2 linked regions of the Neodiprion lecontei genome follow. The protein of the gene in region 1 binds, or shares a complex with, the protein of each later gene. Links are inferred from orthologs where the notes say so. Each region holds a gene or a part of one and is shown on either strand. Other genes may lie near its edges.

Region 1 (6,602 bases):
ATTTTTATTGTTAATTTTTTGCTGTGATTGTAATCCTCCTGTAATCCGCCGTCGTGGGGGTGCGTTGGAAAACGTTTATATTACTGTTATATGTTACAGAGATAACTAAAAAAAAAAACATATTAAACTTGCCGAAATTATCCGGAAATTTTTGACGCTACCTCCCGGACTAATCGAATGATCCAGTGAGGAAGTGATCGAGTGATCGAGTAGGGTGGCCACAGACCGAGATAACCGGGAACAGTCAGGAAATGTCATCTATCGGGAGAAGTCAGGGAATTATGATGGACCATAGGGAAAGACGTACTTTCTTTATAAATCTTTTGCAACCCTCAACTATGCTTCGTAAATTCAGTTAAGCTAACTTTCGGAAATAGAATCGTTCAATTTCTAATTATTCGTTTGAAACAAAGCAATACTATGTGTTTGTAGATCCAAATTTATGTATTGAAGATGTATCTGTGTATACACGGCTTCTGGAGCTTTTGGTCGTAAAAGCCGACCAACATTATCTAATTTTCGTGGGAATAACGTCAGGGAGTTCTGAATTTGTTTATGGGAAAAGTCAGGGAATTATATTTGAGCAAAATGTCGCCGCTCTGATAATGCGAATCGATTGATCGCGGCTTTAGCTTAGCGATTTCGTAAACGGTATACGAAAAAGTAAAGCACTCTCGATGTGTTAAGCCTTTAGGTTTTCGATCAATTTTTTTTACCGAGTTTTCAACTGAGTTTTCAAGTTTAATTGACCGCGCCTTTTGCGCGTTGACTTGATACCTTTTGATTCTGAGAGAAAGCGTGGCATTTGCAAGCCGACGGTCAATTCACGGGGATAAAAATTGCAGAGTGTACAGTGATAGTAGAGAATCTTGTCGTGAGTATTTATAAAACATACCTGAAGTGTACAAAAGTATTTTTTTGGTGATTTTATTTTATTTTTTTTTCAAGGTAATGAACTAATTTTTTTTACAAGCATACCGTTTTTTACAAGTCCTTACTCGAACAAAATATTTATGCTAATAATTCCAGATTTTTATTAAAAACATGTAGACTTTTTCTTGAATCATAGAAATGCTAGAGTAGAAGACTGTTTTCACAAATGTTGATATTGGGCTCGACATAGTTTTTGTCGATGCACGCACTTTTTTCATTGTGCTAATCGTAACTTCGTCTGTTTCAGCTAATAAAACTTTTTGTCTGTTTCAGCTAATCAAATCTTTTGTATTCCCGATGAAACTTTTTTCACCAACATCTGAAGCGATTTCTGCTATGATTTCCGAAATTGTCAATAAAGCCTTCGTAAATCCTGTTAAAATCGAATTGAAATGTGTAAAACGTCTGATTGGAAAAATATCTCACCCCAGGTGACTTGGTAGTGTGTCTTTTTTGAGGTGAAATGTTTCCTCGATCAGCAATATTTCATGGCACTTCCCAATCGACTTTTGCAGGACTTATCAAGGATCTGTTTAAAATTATGAGGATTCTAGCACAAATTGATTTCGATGTTGGTAGCAAAAGTTACGTCGGAATTACTTCAGTTGGTATTTCCGATGCATCCCAAGTGTTTCCGACGTAACTTCCGTTACCAACATTAGTTTAAGTGTTTTAAGTATTATTGTGTAAGAATGATGTGATTGTTTTATTTCTCGCGGTATGTATGTACAATGTTGACCAATGAAACTTTGCAGTCAATTTTCTTCCAAATCATTCCTGCTGCAATACATCTTTTGTCAATATATTTGTGATTTATTTCGTTACTTCCAATCTTGGAGGATATAGACATGGAGGGAGCCTGGTACACCCTTCTGTGTAAGTGGAAAATGGTAACGAGAAGGAAGTAGTACTACATTCTTTTTCTGTTTTGCAGGCTTAGAATGCTTTTAAGCTTGCAGGCAGCACTCACGCTCGTACCACAGAACCCCGGTGCCTGGCTCTAAGGCTTTGTTAGTTTGACGTGTCCGTAGTCACATACCGGAAGCATATAGGCATTGAAGTGTTACTATTGTTGTACAAAGATACCTATTAAGTTTCATTTATTTACTAAAATCATGTCGCTGAAACGTTGCGTTTCTATCGGACTTTTCGGGGCAAATGCCCGTTCCAGATTTATAAGTTATATTGTTTCGTTTGAAAATATGCTAAACATTGATATTATTGACTGTTTATTTCAATAACTTGACCAATAGGCACTAGTGTATAATATGTATTCATATCATTCGGATTATATCACGGCACTCAATTACGATATGTTCGCACCTACCATAGAAGAAGACCTCATGTATTATTACGACGTTCCTCTCTCTTATTGGCTCGGGGGCACTTTTTCAGCGTGTTGCTTCCTTCCTCTATGTCTATCGGCTCTAAGCTTCTAATTAACAATCTTAGAGTTTTTAATTCTTACGATAAAAACGTTTATGAAGACCGCTAACTCAACGCTGTAGTTTTGAGTTTTTGGCGCGCGGCATTCCACGAGCGTTTCCCTTGTCGTCGACGGCGTGACGCTGCAGCATCAATTTGACGCCCGTGAAAATTCAGCCCAGCCTGCAACTTGGATTGAAAGATGTCATAATTTAGTTTGTATGTACTGACATCAAATATGATGGATTATGAATTTAAAGTAAAAACCCAGAAAGATCGTACGAAAGTTGAAGATTTGTTCGAATTTGAAGGCTGCAAGGTTGGAAGGGGAACGTACGGTCATGTATATAAGGCGAGGAGAAAAGAAGGGTTAGTTTATTCTAACTTATCTAACCTTCAATACTCAAGTGATACGTTCCACGATCGAATATTTACAATACAAGTTGTATGAACCGTTGAGCAATATAAATAGACAAAGTCCGAATAGTCAAAATTAAGTTTTGTATAGTTTTTACGTTTTCTGTTACTTCATACGTCTTTAATTTTGACCAATATTATAGTATTTCTGGTTGCCAATTCAACATTCTTGTATCATTCCACATTTAAAATCTTATTAAACACAGATTTTTTTACTTCAGAGTTCCTGACAGCGAGTTAAAATCACGTCCTGATACTAAAGATTTTGGTCTCAAACAAATCGAAGGGACTGGGCTTTCTATGTCAGCATGTCGCGAGATAGCAGTGAGTAGAGCAACTGTACATAATGACATTTTGATTTAAACGTTTCTAACTTTTGCATAACACTTGGGAAATGACTGGCGATTTTAAGCTATCTACAAATTGTCATTAGCTATAAGCGAGGAAATACAGAAATAGGTCCTTCGCTGATTGATGTTGAGATCTGTCGCTAAAGAGACCAAGTGGCATCTCTTTCACTGCAGTTGCTAAAAGTGACTTGGGTCACATGTTTTTTCTTTGTGAAATGTCACTGAAAGTTGTTTCTGATACAATACCACCATGTATCAGTTTTCGATGGTTCCAAAGTCTTCAAAAGTTAAGAGTATTGAAAAACCTCAAACTTTCTGGATTGCAAAAGTCAGACAATTGTCGGAATGTATTGTGGAATATACATCAAAACTCTGTAATGATCCAGTCACTCATAACACTTGGTCTTCACTAAAGTCAGCCTTTCACTGAGGGTGAAGTTTCCTTTAATTTCTCCAAGAGGATAGGCAGTATCAGTAACCAATAATATTTGATGAAAACTAATCCCTAAAACTTGATGAAAAACTTGTTGAATAAGTTTTTTTTTAGTTTTTTTTGCTATAATTTCCACAGAGATGATAGATTCAGTGAATTGAGACATTTCAAAGTTAGGTATTTAAAATTAATTAGAGGATCCTAAGATGCGGAAATAAAATGTCAGTAGAAACTATAATATAAAATTTTTTCCTCAATTTTGATGTTCCTAATGGTAACTAAAAAATGCTAAAGTGACCAGAGAAAGTATTATTGCTTTAGAAAAAAATGATTTTTTTTTTTTGGAAATATCTGAAATCTATATTGTCCTATATTTCTTTAAAATACACATATCAGCTTTGAACCCTTTGAAGTCCTTTGATTGGGCCTTTTTAGGGGAAGTCAGAAAATTTGCAAAAATTTAGTCCAATGTACTTTATTTCCAAGCCTGTGCAAAAATTTTTGGTGAAAGATTTTCACTTGAGATTTTAAAGCATTTAGTAAATGTAAATATTGAAATTTTTCAAATCGTGGATATTCTTCATGTAGAGTGCTGAAAATTAGATCCCATTATTGTGTAAAAAAAGTGGTGCTGTTACCATTGATTAACCATTAACTTCCCTTAGAAGAAATGGTGGAATTTAGCAAATTTCCCATGAAGTATTTATCTGCACAAGATTACTGATTTAAATACATGTACTCATCTATGCCAATGCCATATGTATAAGTAATTACATATATATCACTATTACACATTATCTGCCTCTGAAAACCGTAATCATGGTTCTACGTTATAACCTGTACATTGATAGGAAGCTCTTAAAGTAAAGTAAGCGGTTTTACGCTACCGACAGCAGAACCTTTACTGTGGGCTTCATTTTTTTATGAACATGTGTCGTCTACTCCATGATTTGTCATTACAAAGAAAACTCATTGAAAATACAGAATTTTAGACCTAGAAATTTGTCAATTCTAGCGGATCTTGATTAAAATATTTGTGCGACTATGTCAGTTTCACAGATGTTTACCAAGTTTATTTGGTAACTCGTATAGTCACTATTTGAACTCAGATTAGTTTTTTTGATTGAATAGTTATTTTAAACTATAAATTAGTTGAAGGCTGGAGTTGACTCAGAAGTAGACATGATTATTACTAGAATCGTTCAATTCTGCAGAAAAAGTGAATCGTCAACCCGTCGAAAATATTGCATTTTTTGTCACTGGATACCTTGTGTAACCTATATCCAAAACACTCAGATTGAAATATAATCTGTACACAAGATTTTTGGATAATAACGACATGTTTTTTTCCCTCAAATCTTATAGCTCCTTAGAGAATTGAAACATACAAACGTCATAACATTGATACGTGTCTTTCTATCACACAATGATCGGAAGGTTTGGCTGCTTTTTGATTTTGCAGAGCATGATCTATGGGTATGTCAATATTCAATACAGTTTTATAATCTAAAATGCATTATCAGAATATTTATATTTTACAATCATAATTTAATTTTGGGTTTTTAGCCATGAAATGAATTAAGTTTCACAAATCTTCTTTTATATTACCGTTCCTTAGTACAGTCATACTTGACATGTACTAATACTTATTCGTAATATTTTAGTATTCATTTCTGATCTGGTTCTGAATGGTCACGATATTATCATGATCATTTGTTGTGTTATTTCTGTGTTCCTTTCCCAATTTATACTTATATCACGTCATCCAATATTGTAATATAAAACCAAGGATATAGAAAGAAAATTATTACTTTATAATACTAGCGGTCTTTCCTCAGAGAATTCCATGCATTCATATACTTTTTGGCACTGTATGCTGGGAGTAAGGTATTTACAGATTGGCCAGAAGTTTTATTTTTTAAATTTAAGCATACTTTTTTGTCTGAGACGTAACATAGAATATTAAGAAAAAGACTCCCAGTTACAGCCTCTGAAAATAGTTTGTACACTTCATAGATTTCACTTATTGTTGAACAAAGTAAAACATCATTTTGAAAAATAGTATCAGAAAAGGTTCTTCAGAAACAACCTCTAATGAATACTCTTAATTTCAGCATATCATAAAATTTCATAGAGCAGCCAAAGCGAATAAAAAACCTGTTATGGTACCGAAGGGTATGGTGAAGTCGCTTTTATATCAGATATTAGATGGAATTCATTATTTACATTCAAACTGGGTTCTTCACAGAGATCTAGTAAGTTGGAATTCGAATATGTAGAACAGTGATGTATATAGAAGTTGGCTATTAAAAATCATCTTAATTATCTGCTAAAATAGCCAAGCAATTTTTCGATCGATTGTGTGTATAACTAAGTATATCTTCAGAAACCTGCCAATATACTAGTGATGGGAGAAGGTGTGGAAAGAGGGCGAGTAAAGATAGCTGACATGGGATTCGCACGTTTGTTCAATGCTCCCCTTAAACCCTTAGCAGATTTGGATCCTGTGGTCGTTACGTTTTGGTACAGAGCTCCGGAGCTGCTGCTGGGTGCAAGGCATTATACAAAAGCAATTGGTATATACCCATACTTACCTGTACAACGGTATTCACAATCTCATAAGAATTTTAATTTTATTTATTTTTTAAACATCCTTAGATATCTGGGCAATTGGATGTATATTTGCGGAATTACTGACATCAGAGCCCATATTTCACTGCAGACAAGAAGATATCAAGACAAGTAATCCATATCATCACGATCAGCTCGATAGGTAAGCTTTTGAAGTATATTGTAGAAGCTGACATTGTACTTTCGGAAACTTTAAGCCTTTCACTGCGACTAAGAAACTGCGTCATAATGTAAGTGAGTCTGTCGTGAAAGCGCATAAATATACTAGGAACATACTGTAAAATAATGGCAGATAGCAAATGAAAAGAATTCTCAAATTGATCCTATTGTCTCCACACAGTAACGGCGTTGGTTAAATTGTTAATTTTTCTGTTTATTCACCAGAATATTCAATGTAATGGGATTTCCATTGG
Region 2 (6,825 bases), on another chromosome or scaffold:
TCATATCCGTGAACAGCCGTAATCGGTATATTCCCGAGACTAGTCCGCAATTTACTTTTTCATTTCTCCATCGATTGTTGAACTTTCGATATGCTAAAAGTGATATTTTAATTTAATCGAACGCCTACAGGAGCCGCACCATAGCTTGGGCCACCGTTGTCGTGCAGTTCAATCCAATAATTCAGAGACTTGGTGACCAGGCGGTGAGAGTTGGGTGTTCCCTGGACGGAAATGACGACCCCCCACAGCCGAGAAACATCACAGTACATTCAGACGTACATTTTATTGACCCAAAGTGAGAATTGTGGTGTTTATTCTATTTTCACAGTGTCTCCATAGAAAGTTTTAATCCAGAAGTATAAGAGCGCAAGCATGGCTTAGGTTTTAATCCATTTTTCGAATGCATGTTCTTTTATAATCATTACTTTCCAAGCGCTGGCTTACCACCGATCGTTTCAACCGTCGTAAACTCATCATCGGAGGCTCCGATGGTAAGGATGAGGATACTTGATGAGAGCCTTTCGCGCGACGCGACCGTCACTCAGCTGGGACAGAAGTTGATTCTGAGGATCGAAATAATTCCGCCCGACGGTATGATGTTCTTGTCGCGTATATATTTTTATCGAGAGTATTCCTTATACCTAGATAGTTGATACGCGAACGACGCTTCGCCCGCAGGTAGGCAACTGAAGTGACATCTTATACATAATAAGCTGTAATAAGTATCCCAATGTAACTTCGGTTGCCTATCCGCCGGCGAGTGTCTTTTGCATAGTTGACCTTCTCGAAATCCTTCCTGTACACTTTTGTGAATTCCATTTGAAACCTTAACGTGTAATTTTAAGACTAAACGTAAATTTCAGGCCCATTTGACATTTTTGCCGGACATTTGGTCGCCAGCAGTGCTGGAGGAGATTCATCCTATCTTCTGCTCGATGAAATGGGATGTCCAACTGACACGAGCACCTTTCCAGCTCTGGTACGAGATGTCACAGACAACAGTTCACTTGTCGCAAAATTCACTGCCTTCAAGTTTCCCAATAGCCAATTGGTCAGGTTCAACGTGGTTGTAAAGTTTTGCACCGGAAGATGCAAGCCGGTATGTATTCAAGTTATTATGACGATTTAAGACGTTACTTCATCAGCAGCAAGCCACCCTATAATGTATACAACGATTCCATTGTATGGACATTATTTGATCTTTCCGTCAAGGCTCACTGCAGCAATGATGAATATTCTTACGGAAGGCGGCGTAGAGAGATATCTACTGCACCCACAAATGCCAATGTCACCGAAATAACACCGAAGACGATTCCCGATAAAATTCCTCTCCAGTTCTCGATATTCGTTCATAGCCCAGTAGTTTCACCAGATCCTCTTCTGTCGCGGGACAGTTCAGCACCAGACACCATCCTTGTTGCTGGTGGTCGTAAGTACATTAATTTTTATCTTTCACCCATTATATGGCGTTGTGGTGATTTTAATAGTATCACCATCATCGTACGCGTCATATCACTTTATTCTGGAATTCCAGAAATACTGTCAAATTTTTTGGAGATGCGGATATAAATCTTGATTATTTCAGAATCGTTGGATGGGCTGCTTTGCGTTGACGCTGGCCTTGCCTTGGGTCTCTTGATTTTTTGGCTTATCGTTCAAATAATGTTGACGATCGGTTGTTTGGTGGCTGTAAAACGATACCGACGATTAGCTCGTCGGGCGGAAGAGGATCGTGCCGATATATTGGCCAGGCATCTTTATGGTATTCACGGTGGTAATTTCGAAGTTGCCCGACGTGTACGGTGGGCTGATCACAACAGCTCATCCGTCAGCTGATGCCGTTTTTAACATCATTAGTAGGGAAGTACCAGCCGAAGTTCAGGACTTCCGAGCTGTTGAGATAGCACCATTCCAGATTCCACGCTACGTTTCGTTTACATAACGTGCAGGTGGAACGTGCAGCGGACGCTGATCGTCTTTGTTTTCACCGTCTCGCCAATGTATTAACCACGCGGATAAAACAACCGGAAGGTTCTTATGTATAGGTGTGAGTGTATTATTGAACGAATTGTAATGTAGTGTTGGAATATGATCAAACCACTTTTATCATTTACCTGTTTGAATTATTACACATCAATATGTATACAAAAAAAATGTACAACATTCTGGCTGACGTGGTATAATTGGTATAATCGATGACCATATTGTTGACTTGTAATTAAACTATTCATGCAATCATAGTTGAAGTTGCAAAGTTGTAACGGCTGGGGTATTGCCTATGTTTCTTTTCTTCATGTAGTGATAATGAACGAAAACCATGTGCATATCCATTACCAAAAATAAAGACGCGTCACGTGCGGATTTACTAACGAAACGCATATTGAAAAAACATGTAAATTGGCGCAAAGTGCAAAGATGTATGACTATTAATAGTAACTGTATTGATTATCAACTCCGGATCAACTCTTATTCATTACCGTGCTTTTCCGGTAACATGATTTTATCGCCTTGTCGGTAATTGCATTACGAAGGTTTCAGTCGGTGAACGTGCTATGCCAATGAAAAGTTAGATGTATATTTGTCCGGAAGTGTCTAATGGAGTATCCTATCTCACGTATCTTACACCCGATGTATTTCAAAAAAGAGTCACCGTCGGAATAGAATCTCGGCTGTGATGATTTGTATACAATTGTCGCACATACAGACGAATCAGAACACAAAGATAAAATATTTGTTAACGAACGAAAATGAAAGTGGGTACGAAATATCGCTCAGTGGTAATATAGCCGTTGATATATCGGAGAAGTATGGCCGGAAATTTTTGGCACAGTTCTCATCAGTAAGTTGTAATAACCTGAAAACGCCGGTGGACCATATGCACAATGATAAGAACTGACAATTCATTGATTATTTAATTCTTGATTTTCAGCCAACAATGGTTACTCGATAAACAAGATTTAGTTCGAGAACGTCAGCACGACCTTTCTATTTTATCCGAAGAAGAGTATCAAAAACTATTTATTTTTTTTTCAAACTGTAAGTAAAGTCAAAGCTTTCTTTGTTGAAACTTAGTGAAATCTGGATACTTTGAACTATCAATGTATACGCTATATCATATATGCGTTTACTTAATTTTATAGTGATTCAAATATTGGGTGAACAGTTGAAACTTCGACAACAGGTGATAGCGACAGCCACCGTCTATTTTAAACGGTTCTTTGCCCGCAACAGTTTAAAATGTATTGACCCGTTGCTGTTGGCCCCAACTTCCGTGTTTCTGGCTTCTAAGGTAGAGGAATTTGGAGTCACATCGAACACCAGGCTGATTACGACATGCCAGACTGTCGGTGAGTTTATCCTCACGTGGCAAAGTCTCTGCACACATCACAGATCATTTCAACATTGTACTTTCTTAAATGGCTAATCTCCATAACCTTTATTACAGTAAAAAACAAATTCAACTATGCCTACTCTCAGGAATTTCCCTATAGAACCAATCACATTCTGGAATGTGAATTCTATCTTTTGGAACACCTTGACTGCTGTCTGATAGTCTATCAACCGTATCGTCCACTATTAACACTTGTACAAGATGTTGGACCAGACGATCAGCTGCTCACGCTAGCTTGGCGTATAGTCAATGACAGCTTGCGCACAGATGTGTGTCTGCTCTATCCCCCGTACCAAATCGCTATCGGTGAGACACTTAAATCATATAATTTGAAACTATACTGCGTTCAACGAGAGGATGACACAGCGTCGTACAGGTTTGGACAGTGGGGGTCGGATGGAGGTAGCGGAGCTCGCTACTCAATATCGTACCTATAATATCGTAGATTTGTGCCCTGCACCAAAAGGCCACGCTCTCTGAAATATCGCAGTCTCATTATATCTCAAGTAAATTTATTCTACTTCCTTTTGCTAATTTTCTGCCATCGGATGTATCAATCAATCAGAATAACAAAACTACAATTCAAATTTCACACGTTTGAACTGACTCGCAACTTTGCAACGACTGACGCTCGACGGTTTGAAATGATTCATCAGGCTTCAAATCAACCGTTAGATTTGAAGTAACTGTTAAGTTTGAGTACCTGGTTATCCTTGTTGGCTGTAGCCGGGTCTGGCTAGCTGCAAGATCTGTCCAGTTACCTGGAGTGGGTAAAATGGGTCGCGTATTAGGCGAAATCCGACTGAACTGGACGTGTTTGGCTTCGTAAGTGTATCGTTCTCTCCCTGAACGGAGTATAATAATGTATCAACATTGACCAGTTTAGTGCAGTTTTTCTTCTTCATTTTTTCTTTTGTTTAATATATTTCTACGAATAGGTTGCCTGCAAATTGCCTGTGTAATACTGCAAAAAGATTTAAAGTCATGGTTTGCCGAGTTGAATGTGGATATGGAAAAGATTCAGGAGATTGCCAGGTACATAATTAACTTATACGAGTTGTGGAGAACTTATGACGAGAAGAAAGAAATACAAGGATTATTGGGCAAAATGCCGAAACCAAAGGCTGCACCGCAACGCTGACATCAACCTCCTGCGGATCCTTTGAACTGGGAATCACGTCAGGAGGATCGTTTGTACAATTAATTACTTAATCTTTATAAAAAATTATTGGACCGTAAGGAATGAGAGAATATTATTTTGCTCTCTGCTACATTGACTGTGAGAATATTTGGGAAATTACGATCATCAAATATTGATAAATTTAATCAAATTTATTTCCTTATTTTCGTAACCTTTATCATAGAAATTATTTATATCATTGACACTGTAATCCCACTAGCTTCCAGGTCTTTGTAACTTCTTATCAGGACTGGCATAATTATAGTTATCATCAAGAGCATTATTGTTACTCCAACGCCGCTTTATTCCAGAGTGATCGGTGGCAGACTTTTGCAACCACTTTACCTACAAGTGCTCAAAAAGTGAAAATAGTAGTCTCATTCAGGAAGTAAATAATATTAACACAGTCTGAACATGTGAGACATACTGTAGTTGAAAGATGAAGAATTCGCCAGCAGGTAGCAATGCCCAAAGCAAAGCAAAAATTGAAATCAACTGCTTCCTTTCGAATAACGCTTCCAAAACTTTTTGACGTCATCATGACCCGCTTTTGTGACAACCATAGTCCGCTTTCTGTAAACAAAATGGTGAAAGAATGATCATCTCATTTTGAATATACTATGTTGTTTAATATCAAATAAGAATAAATGAAAATTAATTATACCAAAGTTAGACAATAAGCCCACATCCCTATTCTGTATTTTATATAATAACATTACCTTTCGCTTTGCCAGATTAGAACTTGGGTGGTGAGCGCGTGATCTCTGAGTACTTCAAAGTCAGTCTGTGAAAGAAACTGACTATACAGAACGCCCTCGCTAAATATAAATCTATTTCTTTCGTTTTCCCACAACTTGATTTGATCCACTATGGTAGGGGGCAAAGTTGGTGGTCCTAAGGCAATCATCTTAGGATGGGCATGCTGATGTAGGTATCTGTACAAGAAATGATTTTAGAATTGGGGCATTAATGAAACATCGAATAATGTGCGTATACCAATATTATTACGTACATACCCAACGATTTGTTCAGCTGTAATGCCGCTCTTCAGAGCTTGCCTCACTGAATCTCTTGTTAAAATGGATACAACCAAGTTTGGGAACCTGAAAACGGCCAAAATTACAAATCAGTAGTTGGTTTTCTGAAATTGAATAGGTGAAAAAAACTGATATTGCTTTAGACAATTTTTTCCATGCTTACCTGTAAAGCATTTCACAAAAGAGACCAAGCAGAGCGACTTGCAAATTAGAATTGGTATAAGCGTAAACTCTGTAATTGGTTTCCACGACTATATATCCTTCCTTCTCTAAGTCACTTGACAGAGGCTTATTTTGACCTGTGGCAATGTTTAGTGCTAGCCTGGTAGGGTAAAATCTAAGAAAATAAAACATACGGTATTACAATTTTAATATATTTATAAAGTATTTTCAGTATGTACACGCAGATAGAATGTGGAATAGATTCATCAGTTTGTTGAAATAATTACCTTCCAGCCTTACGTTTTCTTTGATAGACCAGACCAAATTCTCTGAGGTGCTGCAAAAATGTCAATAGTCCCTCTGACATACCTTCAGTACTGTAATCTTTTCCCAATGTCGAGAAATTCAATTGAAACAAGAAGGTTAGACAAACGACCAGATCCAGACCCCTGGCTTCTATAGTGTCCAAGTATTGAAGAATGAAGTACCAGACCTGAAAAGTAGTCAAATCATAGCTAATTGCTACTTAGTATTACGAGTTGGTACCTTGGAACGTATGGTGAAATAAAGAATACACAGGGTTACAAAGAGCTATCGCCCCCTAGGCTACCAATAGTACGAGGAATACACAGGTAGCTTATGGTGCGATAATCCCAAGTCACTTTGTATATGGTGGTCATAAACTGAATATTATATTACCATGAAAGACTGCTAATTTGTACAGTGTAAACAATAAATTGATGACTGGCCTATCAGTTGCTATTGTAAACCATGCACAACATTTACATTTTCAAGTAAGGAAAGGTTTTACACAAACACTACACGCAATCAACTTTTGTTTTGACTTTTGAGTAGCCAAAATTTAACCATCTTATAATTGACAGAATATCTTACCTGGGACGCTGTATCTAGCAGTAGAAACTGAAATCCTGCTTGTGTAATGACTGGGCTGCCGTCTTCCTCATCACGTTTCATCAGTCCAGCATGTAGCAGTATTCTTACCGCATCAGCCGATATTCCTAAGTTAAATCATTTGAAGCTGGCTATAAAAATTC

What was found. The genes of interacting proteins can lie anywhere in the genome.
Region 2: cyclin-dependent kinase 8 (region 1) and cyclin-C share a complex: the UniProt entries of both Drosophila melanogaster proteins name them as parts of the cdk8 module of the Mediator complex. The link is inferred for Neodiprion lecontei from reciprocal best matches to the Drosophila melanogaster genes Cdk8 and CycC.

Annotation. Positions count from the first base shown.
Region 1 is NC_060263.1:23,751,578-23,758,179, forward strand, and holds the start of cyclin-dependent kinase 8, read left to right. Parts: upstream 1-2,512; 5' UTR 2,513-2,596; coding exon 2,597-2,727; intron 2,728-2,996; coding exon 2,997-3,099; intron 3,100-4,923; coding exon 4,924-5,034; intron 5,035-5,672; coding exon 5,673-5,813; intron 5,814-5,944; coding exon 5,945-6,134; intron 6,135-6,216; coding exon 6,217-6,331; intron 6,332-6,573; coding exon 6,574-6,602. UniProt on the Drosophila melanogaster protein: Component of the Mediator complex, a coactivator involved in regulated gene transcription of nearly all RNA polymerase II-dependent genes.
Region 2 is NC_060264.1:26,472,489-26,479,313, reverse strand, and holds cyclin-C, read left to right. Parts: upstream 1-2,656; 5' UTR 2,657-2,807; coding exon 2,808-2,839; intron 2,840-2,929; coding exon 2,930-3,036; intron 3,037-3,140; coding exon 3,141-3,347; intron 3,348-3,445; coding exon 3,446-3,697; intron 3,698-3,984; coding exon of another isoform or gene 3,985-3,993; intron 3,994-4,329; coding exon 4,330-4,532; 3' UTR 4,533-4,922; downstream 4,923-6,825. Other genes in the region: uncharacterized protein LOC107217955, read left to right, coding at 1-25, 131-295, 434-591, 864-1,099, 1,213-1,429, 1,586-1,836; general transcription factor IIH subunit 4, read right to left, coding at 5,063-5,144, 5,291-5,506, 5,588-5,674, 5,772-5,945, 6,058-6,263, 6,665-6,789. UniProt on the Drosophila melanogaster protein: Component of the Mediator complex, a coactivator involved in regulated gene transcription of nearly all RNA polymerase II-dependent genes.